Linked DNA regions of Oreochromis niloticus. The protein of the gene in region 1 purifies or fractionates together with the protein of each later gene. This does not show direct contact. Links are inferred from orthologs where the notes say so. Each region holds a gene or a part of one and is shown on either strand. Other genes may lie near its edges.

Region 1 (6,940 bases):
AAAATTATTCAAATAAATTAAGATATATTGAAGTCAAGGAGTATAACACTAGCAGAATTTATGGGGCACTTATTTAACTTTCAACTCAGAGTCTGTGTGTAACAGCTTTATTTACACTAACTGGCCACTTTATTAGGTACACCTTGCTGCGAGTGCCAGATTTGTTATTTTAAATGTGTTTTTTGTAAATAAATTCTGTGTTTTTTCATTTGTACGGACCTCCAGGCCCCACAGGCAGTCAGCCAGTAAGATCATTCTGATTTGGTGCCGTACGAGTGCCGATTAAAGCCTTTCTCATGGGGTCTACCAGGCACTGTGTGTTTTCTGGGGGGCTGGAAAAAGTAGCAGCATGAAGTTGTCCTTTAGATCTGTATTTCTGCCAACCTTAGGCGATTTTGGGACCTCGGGTCATAGTAATTCCACGTGTAGTGAATCTTGTGTCAGATCGATCAGCACACAGTCAAGTCGCAGGTATGACCATGAATCGATCAACACTGCTCCAGCACCATAAGCACACTACCTAGATGATCTAGTTGACTTGGCTTTGCTTTGTTGCTGTTGTCAAACTTCTGACTTCTTTGTTTGTTTACCCTTCATGGATTAATTGAAAACCCGAAGTAGAGTATTTTCCGTCCAATGAACTAGGCTGAAATAAACAAGTTATTCCCAAAACATGGAGTGGACTAGCTTCTTTTTTTCTTTTTAAATGAGCAGAGTTGACTAATTCTGGACAGGCAGACAAAAGAGCATCAACCTTTGAAGCAGATGGGCTACAGCAGCAGAAGACCACATTGGATGCAACTCCTGAGGCTACAACTCACACCGGCTCACCAGCTGAACATTTTTAACACCTTGCTATGTTAAGTAGAGTTAAAGTAGCTCTGATAGCAGCCAGTGTAAAAATCTGTGAGAAATCAAAAGGTGGATCTTGTTGCTGTTCAGTTCCAACTTTTTAATTGATCTTTCTTATATTTTTAAGCATTACAGCTACAGACGAGCACATGCTTTAACCAGGTATTCACAGATCAAATGATGGTCCACACAACTGTGGGTGTTCGCTTTTCTTTTTTTTAAATCCAACCTCCTGAATGAGTCACACTGGCTCTACTCTGCCTGTATAGTGACCTCACACACACTATTTCAACCTCTCACTCACACACCTGTAGTCACTGATTGCACTCTGTTCAGCACTGTTTATTTATACCTGATGTGTGCTGTGACTGCACAGCTGTGACTTTATCACTCTGCCATCAAAGCACAAATTCCTTTGTGCTCTTGTGCAAGATTATCTCCACTTGGCCTCTGTCAACAGTAATAACAGTTGATTCATACATCGACTTTTAGCCCAGGTCAAAACGCAATTGTTTGGACAACGGGCTCGACCTCAATCACAACAGTCACTTAAAGAATAGAAAAACACACACAAAAAAATATTTTCTTCTTCGTGGCACAGATTTAACAAGCTGCTGGAACCATTCTGGTCCACATTTGCATGATCAGCACCCGTAACCCCATCACACTGTATGGGGTGGCTGTTGCTCAGGCGGTAGACTAGATCATCTACTGACTGGAAGGTTGGCCAGTCTGCGTGTATCCTTGGGCAAGATACCAAGCTGTTCTCCAATGCATCCATTTGGGGCAACCGTGGTTCAGGGGGTTGGGAAGCTCATCTGTAACCGGAAGGTTACCGGTTCGATCCCCCAGCTCTCTCTGTCCTGGTCGTTGTGTCCTTGGGCAAGACACTTTACCCTACCGCCTACTGGTGTTGGCCAGAGGGGCCGATGGCGCGATATGGAAGCCTCGCTTCTGTCAGCCTGCCCCAGGGCAGCTGTGGGTACAACTGTAGCTTGACTCCACCAGTGTGTGTGAATGAATAGTGGAATTCTAAAGCGCTTTGAGGGTCTCGAAAAGCACTATATAAATGCAATCCATTATTATTATTTGAGTATGAATGTGTGCGAATGTTAGATAGAAAGCATTTCAAAGGATAGAGCAAGTGCTTGTATGAATGAGGCATGTTGTATAATGGCTTTGAGTGTCAGTCCAGATTTGTCGGCTGCACATTCATAATGAGAATCTGTCGCTCCACCACATCCCAAAGATGCTTGTAGAACGTGGGTATGGGTCAACACAGTCAACAGATCCCACTGTTGACTGTGGAGGTCACCATCCATTTGAAGGTTGAACCCTTAATAACGAGACAAGTCTGTATATAATGAACCTCCTCAGATCTTAAAAAAAAAAACAAAAAAACAACAACTGATGTAACCTTGGTACATCTCGCATGTATTTCTAGGCTTCTGGGGTTCAAGAAATGCCAAACCAATTGTGGATTTCAATATGGGTTTTAGTAAAGAAACCCGACACACATCTCGATGTCTAATCTTCTGAGTATTTGGACCCATCCGTGCACACCGCTCGTTACCACAAGTATCAATGACGCCTGTATCCGAGTATATGTTGTCATTAACAGGATGCAACGAGCAGAATACAAAAAAACTCTCGAGAAATCAGCTTTCATGAATGTGTAGAGTCATTGTTTTCTGGAGAAAAAAAAAAGCTAAGATCAAAACTGTAGCAGGCTGTCGACTAACTATTTCACCAAAGAGGAAAAATCCAACAGCACTGCATCCTCATCATCACACCTTAATCTTCATCCTGTTCGACAACTCTTTGCATGCAGTGACTTTTGCACACAACCACAAAATAAAACGTTAGGAGCTAGCGTTAGCCTGAGAGCTAACGTTCTGCACATAGCTGAAACGGCTCACAAATATGCGATTCGCCGACCGTACAAGCACACAGGGTAACAGACTGCACATTCACACTCTCTGACGGCCCTCTGTTAATACACCTACCTGTTAATAGGACCCAAATAAGAAGAAAAAAGTCTCCTCGCTTTTTTGCGAGCTAATGCTGCTAAAAATGTTGTTGTTATGCTAAAAAGAGTTCCTCTTCTTCTTCCTCTTCTTCTGTCGATAAGGTGAATTACCGCCACCTACTGGGCTGGAGCTAAGGTACTATCTATCTATCTGTCTATCTATCTATCTATCTGAGTTGTATTATTCCATTTTTAAATAGAAACATATAAAAATTATTAACGTGAATAAAAACTAAGAGGCAGAAACAGAATTTGTGATCTATCTCCACTGCAACAAAAGGAATTCAGATGCACAAGATTTTCTCTAGTCCACACATGGTCAAAAGTATATTCCTCCACTAAGCTTTGGGTTAATGTCCTTTGGTAAGATGCTTTTGGTAGCCATAAACAACCGTATACTTCCAGCTGGATTTCCCACTGTTCTTGGCAGCATGGCAGAGTTAATTAAAGCTTGTTGGTTTTCTGAGTTGGACCATGGAGGCATTGGGAAGGCCTATCCCTTCTGTAAAGGTCAGCCTGCTTTATCTATTCTAAAAACAGTTTTGATATGTGTTTGGAGTCATTGTCCTATCAGAACACCCAAATGTGCTCATGTTTCAACCGCCTTACTGTATCTTCTATTGCTCTATTACATCCACTTTGTGAAATGAACCAGTACCACTGGCAGCAACATTTGGTTTTGCGACCCAGAAGTCTGACTCCAAACATTACAACTAGTCACAAACACAACAGCCACCTAAAAAAAAATACAGATTTTATATATAAATTCACTTCAGTTCCTCATGTTGAGCTAAAAACAAACAAACAAAACATGCATTTGTTAAGTAGTTTTGAGACTTTATTTCAAAGTGTGTGAGCACAGAATAGGAACACGTTATAGGAACAGACATGTTGCGTTGCCACTTTTGATTTGTTATGGATCCTCTTTGAGGAAAACTGCATTTCTTTTCTGTCACTCAGGGCTCTTAAAGCGTGTTTCTTCATTTGGCTCTGAACATGTGGTGAAGTCCAAACTGGCAATAAAATGTGCTGTTAACATCCTAAATTATCAGCGGTGAATATATCTCCCATATAAAAACACAGGCATGTTTTCCTTTCCATAAAATTTAATGTACACATCATTAGCTTCCCATTCCCTCACATCTCAGTAAATAAAACCAGGGGATAGTGTCATGACTCAGTAATTACAAATCTAGATTACAAAAAAGCAATACAGACAAAAATGTACTATGTGGCAGAGTGTTAAAGTCAGGGCTACCAGCAGAGAGAGACGTGCTAGAGGTCGTAGTGGTTACAAGTCATGCTGTCGCTTCCTCTGTCCAAGCACAGATGAACCTGTTTGACTCAGAGGAAGACCAAATTTAATGCAAAAACATGATACATTTTCTCATTTTTTGTGTGTTTCTGTATTTGTTTTTGCAAAATCTATATTTAAAGGCACAGAATTTTTGCCATCTTCTTACCTGTCCGAGGACACAAAACAAAAGAAAAGAAAATAACTGAGTAACAACATCATACACCTTTGCGCTAACATGATTTGCTGAAAAATACAGTAAGCACTATGTACAGCAATAACTCATCTATCAGAGAGCGTGTGTTTTGTTTCTTTTTGCAAAATGTAAGCGAATGGCAGCCTTAAAAAGTGTGATGTAATCAAAAGAAATACTTGTTTGGTCGCAGCATAGAGAAAACCTGTGAGAGTGGAGGTGGAGATTTAAATGCCCCTCTGATGTTCTGAACCATCTGTGTCCACATCAGTGCAATAACAACAGCTCTCTATTGTCATTTCAGCTGTTGCACAAAAAAATCTGACTTGACCTTTAAAGTCATACTAACGGTAACGTAGCAGCAACCTGAGAGTCCCACTGTGAAATGTACACAGGCTTACGTGAAGCTTACGCTGGGACTTTGACATGTTTAGGAATACTTTGGATTGTTTCTAAGTTCCTTCTGTTCCCCAAAACAGATGATGCTTTTCACCTTCTAGATGAAAACCAGCACTTAAAGAAATGAAACTTGCTTGTTTATCATAGTTTCTGTTGGAGTCCAATAAACAAAATACTTCTGGTCTTTTTTTGTTTATACAACAAATAATTTGCTAATGAGTTATAGTTTTCCACAGTTTTTTTAATCATTGGATGAAGCTAAAACTCCTTTGATTCACGCGTCCGATTGTAAGGCACCGAAAAATAATCCAAATATCACAAAAACTTAAAAACAAAGTATAGCTTCAACACCATTTTTACCTCAAGCAAGTCACATGTCTTGGCAAGTCGATTTTCAAACCAATAACGAAGTGACCAACATCAAATATACTGCAGGTACTGATGCAACACATGAAAAAATCCCCAGTGTGTTTACAGTGGGCACCTTCGTGGTGCTAAACTGCCGTAGAATAAAAAGTTCAAGAAGAAAACAGGTGTCATCTTCCCAAAGATGGGATTTCAAGGAAGCTTTACATCTGCTTTGCTCAGATCAGCCCAATAAGATGATGCAAACTCGCTTTAAAACCTTAAAATCAACCAGCAATCTGTAATTTTACTCTCAACTCACATCAAGCTCTGCAGTTCAAACGTGATCAGCCCACTGAAAAGCATTTGTAGGCTTGTCTGTCCCATAGATATGACAGTCAGACGTCTCTCTGTACCCAGTAGTTGTGCAGAAAGGGCTTTACCCAGTTTGAGCTTATGTAGATATGAATAACATTGTAGTAAAATCTCAGGTAGCCCTCAAAATTGAGCTTTCTCATAGATTACAAATACTTTATGCTTGTCTATGCCTTAAAACTAACTGAACAGCAATAATGAGTTCACGGAAAATCAGCCCGTCTCCATGGCTTTCCACTAGTCAGCATTAACAGAGCTGGTGTAAGAGACTTCCTGCCTGCTGTCAGTATCTATGGGAGCGATAAGAACCAATAACGGCCAACTTCCTGAGCTGATAACGTTTAAATTGGGTGCTTAATGTGTGTGTGCGGGGCACTGGTTTGCTAAATGGGGGCGGGGGCGCTCTCCGAGGTAGCCCAGAATGATTCTCGCTGACATCTGTCACAAGAAAGCTGACACGTAATAAACACATACATAAACAATAGCACCATTATCAGTGATAATCTCGAGAAGATCGCTCACACTGGAACTCTTCTCTTTCCTCCTCCTCTCTCCAGCTTCTTCTTCTTTTATTTTATAAGCCATTCATTCCTACAGGGGATTAAAAAAACTCTCAAAATGGGGTCGATGTTGCTCGACTCGATTCTGAAACCATCACAGCACAGGAGAAAGGTCCATTCAGTCAGTCACGTGTTCTTTTTTAAATCCATCTCATCCTCCATCATAAATTCTTGAAATGTTAGTGAATCCCCTCCTGATGTTTCCCCGCCTCACTCCTCCATCTTTCACCTTTGCCTACTACAAGATCTTGCTGCACACTTGGCAGCGGCTGACTCTGAAGCGCTCCTGGCCTCCCTTCAGCGTCTCCTTGTCTGGCGAGAAGGTAAACTCATTATTGGGATCCACGGTTGTCAGCCAGAAGCTGTATTTATTGGCAAAGTAGTGGCAGGTGCCCCTAGCGCCGTTGCACTCGATGAACGGAGTCGCCCGGAAGTCCTCCAGACAGGAGCCGGGAGACACCAAGGACTGACCGCCGCCCTCAGCGCCAGCTGCTGTGTGCTGTGTCAGAAATGAAAGGACATTTTTTTAAAATATGACATCTCTGAAGACAATTTGGCAGTATATAGAACCATGGGGAGAAATAATCTCTTCATCTAATTGCTGGTCTAAATCTGTTTGGTAGAAGCTGCCATTAACTACGTACCATTAGGAAGGAGTATCCTATCCAGAGACTCCTCCAGCCGGGAGGACAGCTGGGGATTGTCAAATCCTGACTGTGGACTGCCACTGCCTGAGATGGAGCCTCACATACTGAACACCTGTGTTATTCATATAATCAGATGAAAGCTTCATTAGTTGTATGCACATGTATACAACTATACAAATGATAGGCAGCTTGACTAAAGTAACACAGTGTACAATACCTGCTGATGTAAGGTCTTATCTCCTCCTT
Region 2 (7,855 bases), on another chromosome or scaffold:
TGGACCCACTGACACAGAAGTGCTGACCGCTGAACATTACACTGTAAAAGAGTGCCCTGTTCTGCTATTAGCGAAGTTCACGGTCAGACAAGCAGCACCACAACCAGTCTGGCAGCACTGTGAAGAAAAGAGAGATCTCTGTTTTTTTCCACTTATCAGCACAGTTTTAGCTATGGTCACTTACATGCCAGGATGAAGCTTTTAAAAGAAGCTGGAAAAGACAAACGTAGCAGCCTTAGAAAAAAACAGATTAACTTTAATGAGCCCCATAGGGAGGTTCATCCTAGCAGTTGACCCCTTGGGTTGTATTAAAGCAGTCCTGAAAAAGAAGCCAAAGCTTTGGTATTTTGATCAAGGGCGACTGAAAGAGTATGTCTTATACTTTTAATGCATGCCAGTCAACCACCACCCTACATTAAAACAGCGCGGTGTACAAATAAAGATCTACATAAAAGCCAACCATTGGGTTTGTCAGCTGTTTAGGACAAAATAAGCAAATTCCATTGACTTTAGCCTCTTCTCTATTACACATTACTAACTAATGAGAAAAAAAATCATTAATATTAATAAACAGAGTTTAACTCCATTCAAACCCAGCGTTCTTAGAGCCGGGTACCCAGAATGCAGCTGGTGGTCAGCGATGATTTCCCACACTGATAGACTGTCGAGGCTGATACTCAAGTGCAACAGAATCACAGTTTTTATTCACAGCCAAGATGAGCCATTTCACCCAGAGACCACTTAAGCCCAGTGTACTGAAACATTAGAAGCTCAGCAGCCATTCAGCCTCCATTTCACCTGCTCAGATGTGCTCACCAATCGGCTGCACTAATGTGGAAATTGTTCCAGTTTCCCTTCCCTTCATCATGACCGACTTCTGAGCACGCATAACACAGCAGGCCTCCCGCTGGCTCTGCTTTATGACCTGACAAGACTGATCACAAGCAGAGGCAGCATGACACAGTATTAAATAAAAGTGAGTAGAAAATGCTCTGGACTCCCTTTACGAAAAAAGAGAAGAAAATCAGCTGCCTACAGGGTGGACCCGGCTCACACGTTCTTAGCTGCACAGACACGCCAGCACATCAGAACATGATCGCCTTGCTTAACAGCGAAAATAAAGAAAGCAGAAGTGTAAAATTAGTTCAAGAGGTCACATTTGAGCTCTGCCAAGGAAAAAATAATTTGGGGATAATAATTTGTTTTTCTTATTCTGTGCTTGCTAAATGTCATAGTTGAAGGATGAGCAGAAGGGCGTGATCCTATGGAAAGTGATCAATAATATAGTCGTGACTGATTCCGAGTGAAGCTGTCATCAAGCTCATGCTGCAGGATAATTTCCAGATCAGAGGACAAACTCCAGTAATGCAAAGTGACAGTAAAATGGGAACGGAGGACGGGCAAAGCGGTAATAATTACCAGTTTACAACTTTCGCAAATTTACAGCTTTGGCATTCACTCACTCGCACACAAACTAGTGGCACTCATGGTTTAAATCAGAGTTAAAGAAAGCCAACACGGATGTGGGCAGATATGAGGGGGGGAGTGGGGGGCGAGCGAGAGATGATGCGTTAATGGGTTTGTCAAGTGGTACCTTCCTCCCACCTCTCAGATGTTTGCATGAGTTTCGCCAACAGCACTAACCTGGGCAGCTCAGCTGTAAAAACACAAAGTGCTTTCAGTGTGCACCCACCCTCTATACTTTGACCCTGAGCTGCTGCTGTCCTGGCATCAGCGCACAATATCAGTTATCTGAACGTTTCAGTGGGCCAAACACCATGCAGGCAGCTTTTCAAAGAGTCCCGTGAAGCTGAAGAATGCAAAGCGTCTCACCTACTGGCCTGAAAACGTGGGACACTACCAACAGAACAGCAGACTAGTTCAGTTAGAGATAAATTACTCTGTTAGATTGGAAAAAAAATAGAGGCTAGCAGAGAGTGCACTGTGGTTACAAGTCAAAATGGTTTTGGTGGGCAGATAATACATAAAAATAGATGACACGTTTGTCTGTGCTGTCAGATTTTCTACATGCAGCCCGGCTACTCCTCATGGTTCTGTCCTTTCTGGTAGGTGATCTTAGCCCAGAAATGGTGTGTACGAAAACAGGCTGATGATGTGACTTTGGTTTGGCCAGAATACTCCCGATCTGCGTGAATGAGTGGCAAGATGTGACACTAATTCGGATTAAAAAGCTCTGAAGCTCAATGTTGGTCAAATGTTAAATACCACATTCACACAGGCATAGCCGTCCAACCCACACACTTGAACCATTCAGCAAACACATGCTGCATTTAAACCAGGAGGACTGTGGCCTTTGGGGGGAACCGCTTCGCTTGTAGCTGGGGCAGAGGCAGTAGCAGACCGGTACTTGAACGCCTCGAGTGTGGGCTGCTCGCCATCTCCAGACAAGGACTGTCAGGTCTGAATTAGCAAACATTTGGCGCAAAACAAGGCAGACGTAGACTCCACATTCAGCTTATGTCACTGCTAACAGTAGGCTATAATCTGCCAGTGTGTTTTACTATACCTGAATCGCCCTCCGCAGTGCTGGCATTGGTCCCCAACCCAGCCGGGAAAACATACACATTCGCCAGTGGCGGTGTTACACTGGCCGTTCATACACGGCTTATCGCACTCCTTGGCCTCGGTGAAGCCAGGCAAGCCGGACAGCAGCCCGATAACCGAGAGAAGGAGCGCGGTGGTCAGCATCAGCAAGCTCCGGTCCCGACCAGAGCCCGAGCAGGCCCGCCGCGTCGCCCCGTACATTCTCTCACAAAAGATGGCTGCTAGATGCAGGCGCTCCGCTGACTTCGGAGATAGCGAGCCGACGAGCTACCTGTTGATGTAGTTCCGTTTATTGGACCAGAGGTACGGTTTCCCTGGAGGGAAGGTTTAGTGTCTTCGCTGAACCTGGTTTTCGCCGGTTACTTGGTTTACATCTTTCCAGTGGTTGTGTTTCCCAGCGCCGCACCAAGCCGCATATTTACATCCAGAAGTGACGTCACGACAACGGAAATGCGCAACGGAAGGAGGCAGAGCGCGCAGGGCTTTAAACTTTTATGTTGGAAGACAGGAAAAGTCCTCTCGTTTTCCCAAACAGCTCTTTAGCGGCTTTCTCTTATTATTATTTTTCTCTAAAATAAACACCGTCGTCCGTTTGCTGCTCGTGTTCTAAGCGTAGCTCGATGTTTATTTTAATATTTTTAATACAAAATAATAATATTATAAGAAATATGACCTTTCCTTATAATGTTTCGCTCCCACTACAGCTCATATTTCACTTAAAATCTCAGTATTTACGATTTAAAAGCTTATACTCCTGAGAACAGCAGCTGTTGACATTAAATTCATCTCCTGGGTTTATTTATTTATTCATTTATTTATTTTTAAATCAGATAATTGTGTACCAGATAAGCCTTCACAATATTGCTTCTTAAATTTTATGATTTTATGGACATATTCTAAGCTTAAGTTAAGCTAAATACCCTATTTGGCAATAGCTTAAAACTTTATAGTCATGCGTCATTGAATACGAGGAAAAATGTATAGCACTATGACTGTTATAGTACTATAACTACACTTTCCATGATGCTTTGCACACACAACAGGACAACGTTTTTAGTTATAACTTGTGAAATTAAGACTCGTGAGAACTGTTAACCTTGAATTCTAATCCGAGATGTAGAATCTCACAAATCATCTTACATGCTGTGGCAGAGAGAGGACGCTGATGCAAGACACTGAAGGCAGAATCCTAAACCACAAGTGAGCCTCTGTATATCTGATAAATGGTCCCAAACAAAATGCAAAAGTTTCACTTGGATTTATAATCTAAAGAACAAGAAGTCCAAAAGAAATTTAAAGACCAGATGGGGCGAATGCCTCCTGCAAGCTCTGCTTTATGATCTGGACACACCATAATACTTCCACCACCGTGCTTCACTGTGAAGACTGTCTTCTTAGAGCGATAAGCCTCTCCATTCATTTTCCGTGTCCAAACAGCTGTATACTTTTCATCTCTCATAATCTTTCTCCTGGCTGTCCTTCATGTTCTTCTGTCTATAACCTCATAGTCCATTCCTGTGCAGAGTTTTAGCGATTGTGTTCTTTGAGACTACAGTTCCCATCATTCACTCATGTCTTAGCAGATGTTATGGGGTTATTTGACATTTTTTTCTGACTAGTTTCCAGAGTCTTTGAAATTTTCTTCTCCCTGCCTCTGCCAGGCTTGTTCTGTAATGTGTGGCTCTCTTTGAGTTTCTTGTTGATACTTCTCCCTCCGGTTCTTTACACTTGGAAACCTTGTGATAACTTTGTATGTCCATCCCCTGCTTTCTGAGCATCAACAATTCTCTTTCTGAGACTAACCTGATTTGTTTTTGGCACCATACTTTCTCAGTGACAGCTAAAAAGCCTTGCTGAAGTTTTTATTGGGAGATAACCTTCAGTTTTAACTTGATTTTACAAGCGTTGAGGATTACAAAGTTAAAGCACATTGTTATCCTTATCTGTAGGTGGCTGATTACATCAAGTTACGCCAAAAAAAGGGCCTTCCCTTTATACACAATTTGATATAAGGGTTATCTTCAAGGTGTTCGTCCTGTATCAAAACTAGTTTCTAACACTGTATTATATGGAATGACCTGGTAAATTTTGTTTGTGTTTTTAATCCTGTCCTATCTAGCAGCTTTTGCAATTAAGATTTAAGATTTATGATCTGAATGCACTGTTGTGCCAAACATCAAGCTCATGCCAAGATCAGCTGTATAAAGCTCTATAGGCTCCTCTTGTTCATATATTTCTTTTATCTGTTTATTCATTCATTTCTATTTGTGTTATTTCAGTTATTACGTTATGTGGTATACTATGACGATGTCTAAGGAAGGACAGGCAGAAGAGAAAAAAGATGGGGGGGAGAAAATAGGGGGAAATATAACCAAAGGATAGAGTACAAATAGAAATGCACAATGTTTCCCAACTGCTGGACCTCTAAGAAAAAACAAAGATGAAGCACCTGGAACACATAAATATGAAAAAGCACTGATACATATATCCACATATATTTAAAACCACTCAAGGTCACTTTATATCTCAATTGTAAATTGTACATTTTTAGACTGTTAAACTACCAGTTTTATCGGGTTTATGTACTCCCCTTACCTCAGTCTCAAAGCGTATATTTATTCTTACTCTTCATGTATTTATTGTTGTTCTTTTGCACTGAATGGAACTGGACACTTTGACTTTGACAAATTCCTTTTGGTGTGTGTGCCTATGTTTTTATCATGAATGTACTTGATAATGAGGTTGGGAAGCCACAATAACGCCCTCCAGGAGTCAGAGGCAGACTGAGCTGGATCCAGGAGGCCATCCGCAACCCCCAAGTTTACTGAAGACCAGAGGCCACACATCTTGGTGATGTTTAAATTTTGAGAACATGTGTAGCGCCACCTTATGCCATAGAGAACGTTACGTCACTGCGATGGTTCGTTGGTTGCGGCTCATAGACTTACATTAGTTTATTTTAGCTAACTAGTGAGAGAATCATTAACTGAGGGGATCACTTTTGTGCTACCCGTCTGTAACAATGAGTTTTACACTAAGAAACAGAGGATATACTGTCTACTTTCACCATCTCTTTAGCAGTAATTGTCTTGTTGGCCAGCTGCACTGAAACGGGAGATTCCAGCTGTTAGCTGTTTGTAAAGCATAACAAATAAGGTGTGGAGGAGCATCATGAAAATATCTCAGGTGTCATACAGTTTTGTCTGTCTCTGCTTTTAAGGCTATATTGAATTCATCTTTATTAGATTTACAGCCTTGCTGGCGTCACTTTGATATAATACTGTCATCACTCTTATTTTGCAGTTTTGAGTCACTTTGTAAAATGTATGAAAACACATCATTAGGTGGGCTCTGTCACTTTGTAATCTCTTCTATTCCAGTGCATCATATACATGTGAGAAAATGTCGAGTAAGAGACAGCAAAATGATTTACAGGCCTGCTGCCTCAAGAAATATTCCTGTTTTTGTATGAATTTCTTAGCAGTCATCCCGACGAATGAACAGGTGATCGTTATTTTTAAAAAAACAAAAACAAACAAAAAACAAAAAACAAAACACACACACACACACACACACAAAAAAAACCCCACAACACACTGACCCAGAGACTGCAGACGAAGGACACAAAACTTTACAAACGGTATAGAACAGTTTATTAAATTTAGACTTTTAAGAAGTCATCATATTCCAACGCACTCCATCGCGTGAAGCGCATTCGTAATAACACCAACCCCAAAAGGATTGATCACGGCATCAAAAACATAAATAAAGCAAATGAACATATTTACAATTTAACATGGGAGTTGTGCACAAGAACACGCAACTACATGTCGAGGAGGAGAGATCAGACGCCGAGGAGAAGGGTCTGACTTTTCAACGGAACCATCCGGACGGCTGGAGTGGAAGGAGGAGAAACACGATTTAACAAAGCGTGAGAGAAGACCTACAGTGTAATCACATTTTCTTGGATTGACAGAAAAGAGGGAAATGCGTGGAACCTCTGACAATACGCTATAATGCTGTTTTCAGTATTAATGGTATAAGGTTGACAAGCCATCTCCTGCTGTAGGTGATTACAGTCCCCGTCCTTGTTCATGAATATTCACAGTTCACTCTGAAATTAAAACAGGGGACGAAACGTTTTCTCCGGGAGAAGAATTTGCCCTGAATCAAATGTCTGAATCAGATATGAAACATTTAGTCTACAAAAGGTGTGAAGAAAGAACACCTTCTTTATACAGTCCTTAAAGCAATTTCCACCTCTGTCATGGTGGGTTTACGGTTTGTTTTAATCATCGTAGAGAGAATTGGGTTTGGACATGAATGGCTCATCTTCAGTGAGCTGAGTGGATGGATAAGCAAACATCACTATGACTTCCTGTTAACAGTCAGGATTTTACAGTAATCAAAAACCCTGAAGATAATCAAAAAACTGTGCTTTAAAAAAAAGGAAAAGACAAGAGCCTTAAAAAAGTACAATCATTGAAAGCATGTTACAATTAGTGAGTGTGTGTAGTTACAAATGGGTCATGTGATTCAGCACATCTAATGCACATAAAAAAAATGTGGATCACATAACCAACATCAGGTCCAGGTCCCCCAGTACACAGTGTAGAGGGGTATCGACAGTATCGACTTATTAGCTAAATGCTATTTTCCTGCATCACAGGAGGGCTGCAGACCTCAGTATTTGTGTTTTTGTGCTTCACTGGGAACACCAGCTGGATGGGGTCGGAGCACAGTAGCACAATTCCAAAAACGTGAGGCGAGTTATCCGGCGAAGAAAAGTACACTTAGCTGACTTTCAAATGGCACTCTGGTTCATGCAGATTCTCCTCCGGTGCTCAAAGCACGGCAAACCCCTTCCACTTGGGTCCCCTAACGTGTGAAAACAAACACTGAGAATAATTTCAAAGAGGCAACCACCATCATCTCGTCTCTGGAGGTCACGCAGTAACATTCAGCTATCCGTTAATGGCAGAGATCGTCTCCTCTTTGTTTCCTCTCTCACAGTATATCACACTATCTTACAGTTGCTTAATGAAAAAGCCATTTACAAGCAACAATATGTACAAGATTGGTCTTCAGAATTACAAAGAAAAGCATATAAACAGGGTTTTCTCTTCAGTTCTGTACAGAGAGCAAAGAGGAGGTGTTAGAAAATGATTGAGCACCTCAGAGTCATTGTGTAGAATTTACACACACAAAAAAAAACTTTGTCCAATCACTGGCTTTAAGATAAACTCACATTCATCCCTTCATTTTCCTAACAGGTACATGCAAAAGGACA

The links.
Region 2: the proteins of ankrd46b (region 1) and atrn purify together in Homo sapiens (co-immunoprecipitation; 3 studies listed by BioGRID and IntAct, with this or other methods). This does not show direct contact. The link is inferred for Oreochromis niloticus from reciprocal best matches to the Homo sapiens genes ANKRD46 and ATRN.

Annotation. Positions count from the first base shown.
Region 1 is NC_031967.2:33,361,934-33,368,873, reverse strand, and holds the start of ankrd46b (ankyrin repeat domain-containing protein 46), read right to left. Parts: upstream 3,012-6,940; 5' UTR 2,859-3,011; intron 1-2,858. Other genes in the region: col4a6 (collagen alpha-6(IV) chain), read right to left, coding at 6,286-6,546, 6,692-6,806, 6,912-6,940.
Region 2 is NC_031983.2:7,588,574-7,596,428, reverse strand, and holds the start of atrn (attractin), read right to left. Parts: upstream 3,022-7,855; 5' UTR 2,767-3,021; coding exon 2,528-2,766; intron 1-2,527. UniProt on the Homo sapiens protein: Involved in the initial immune cell clustering during inflammatory response and may regulate chemotactic activity of chemokines. May play a role in melanocortin signaling pathways that regulate energy homeostasis and hair color.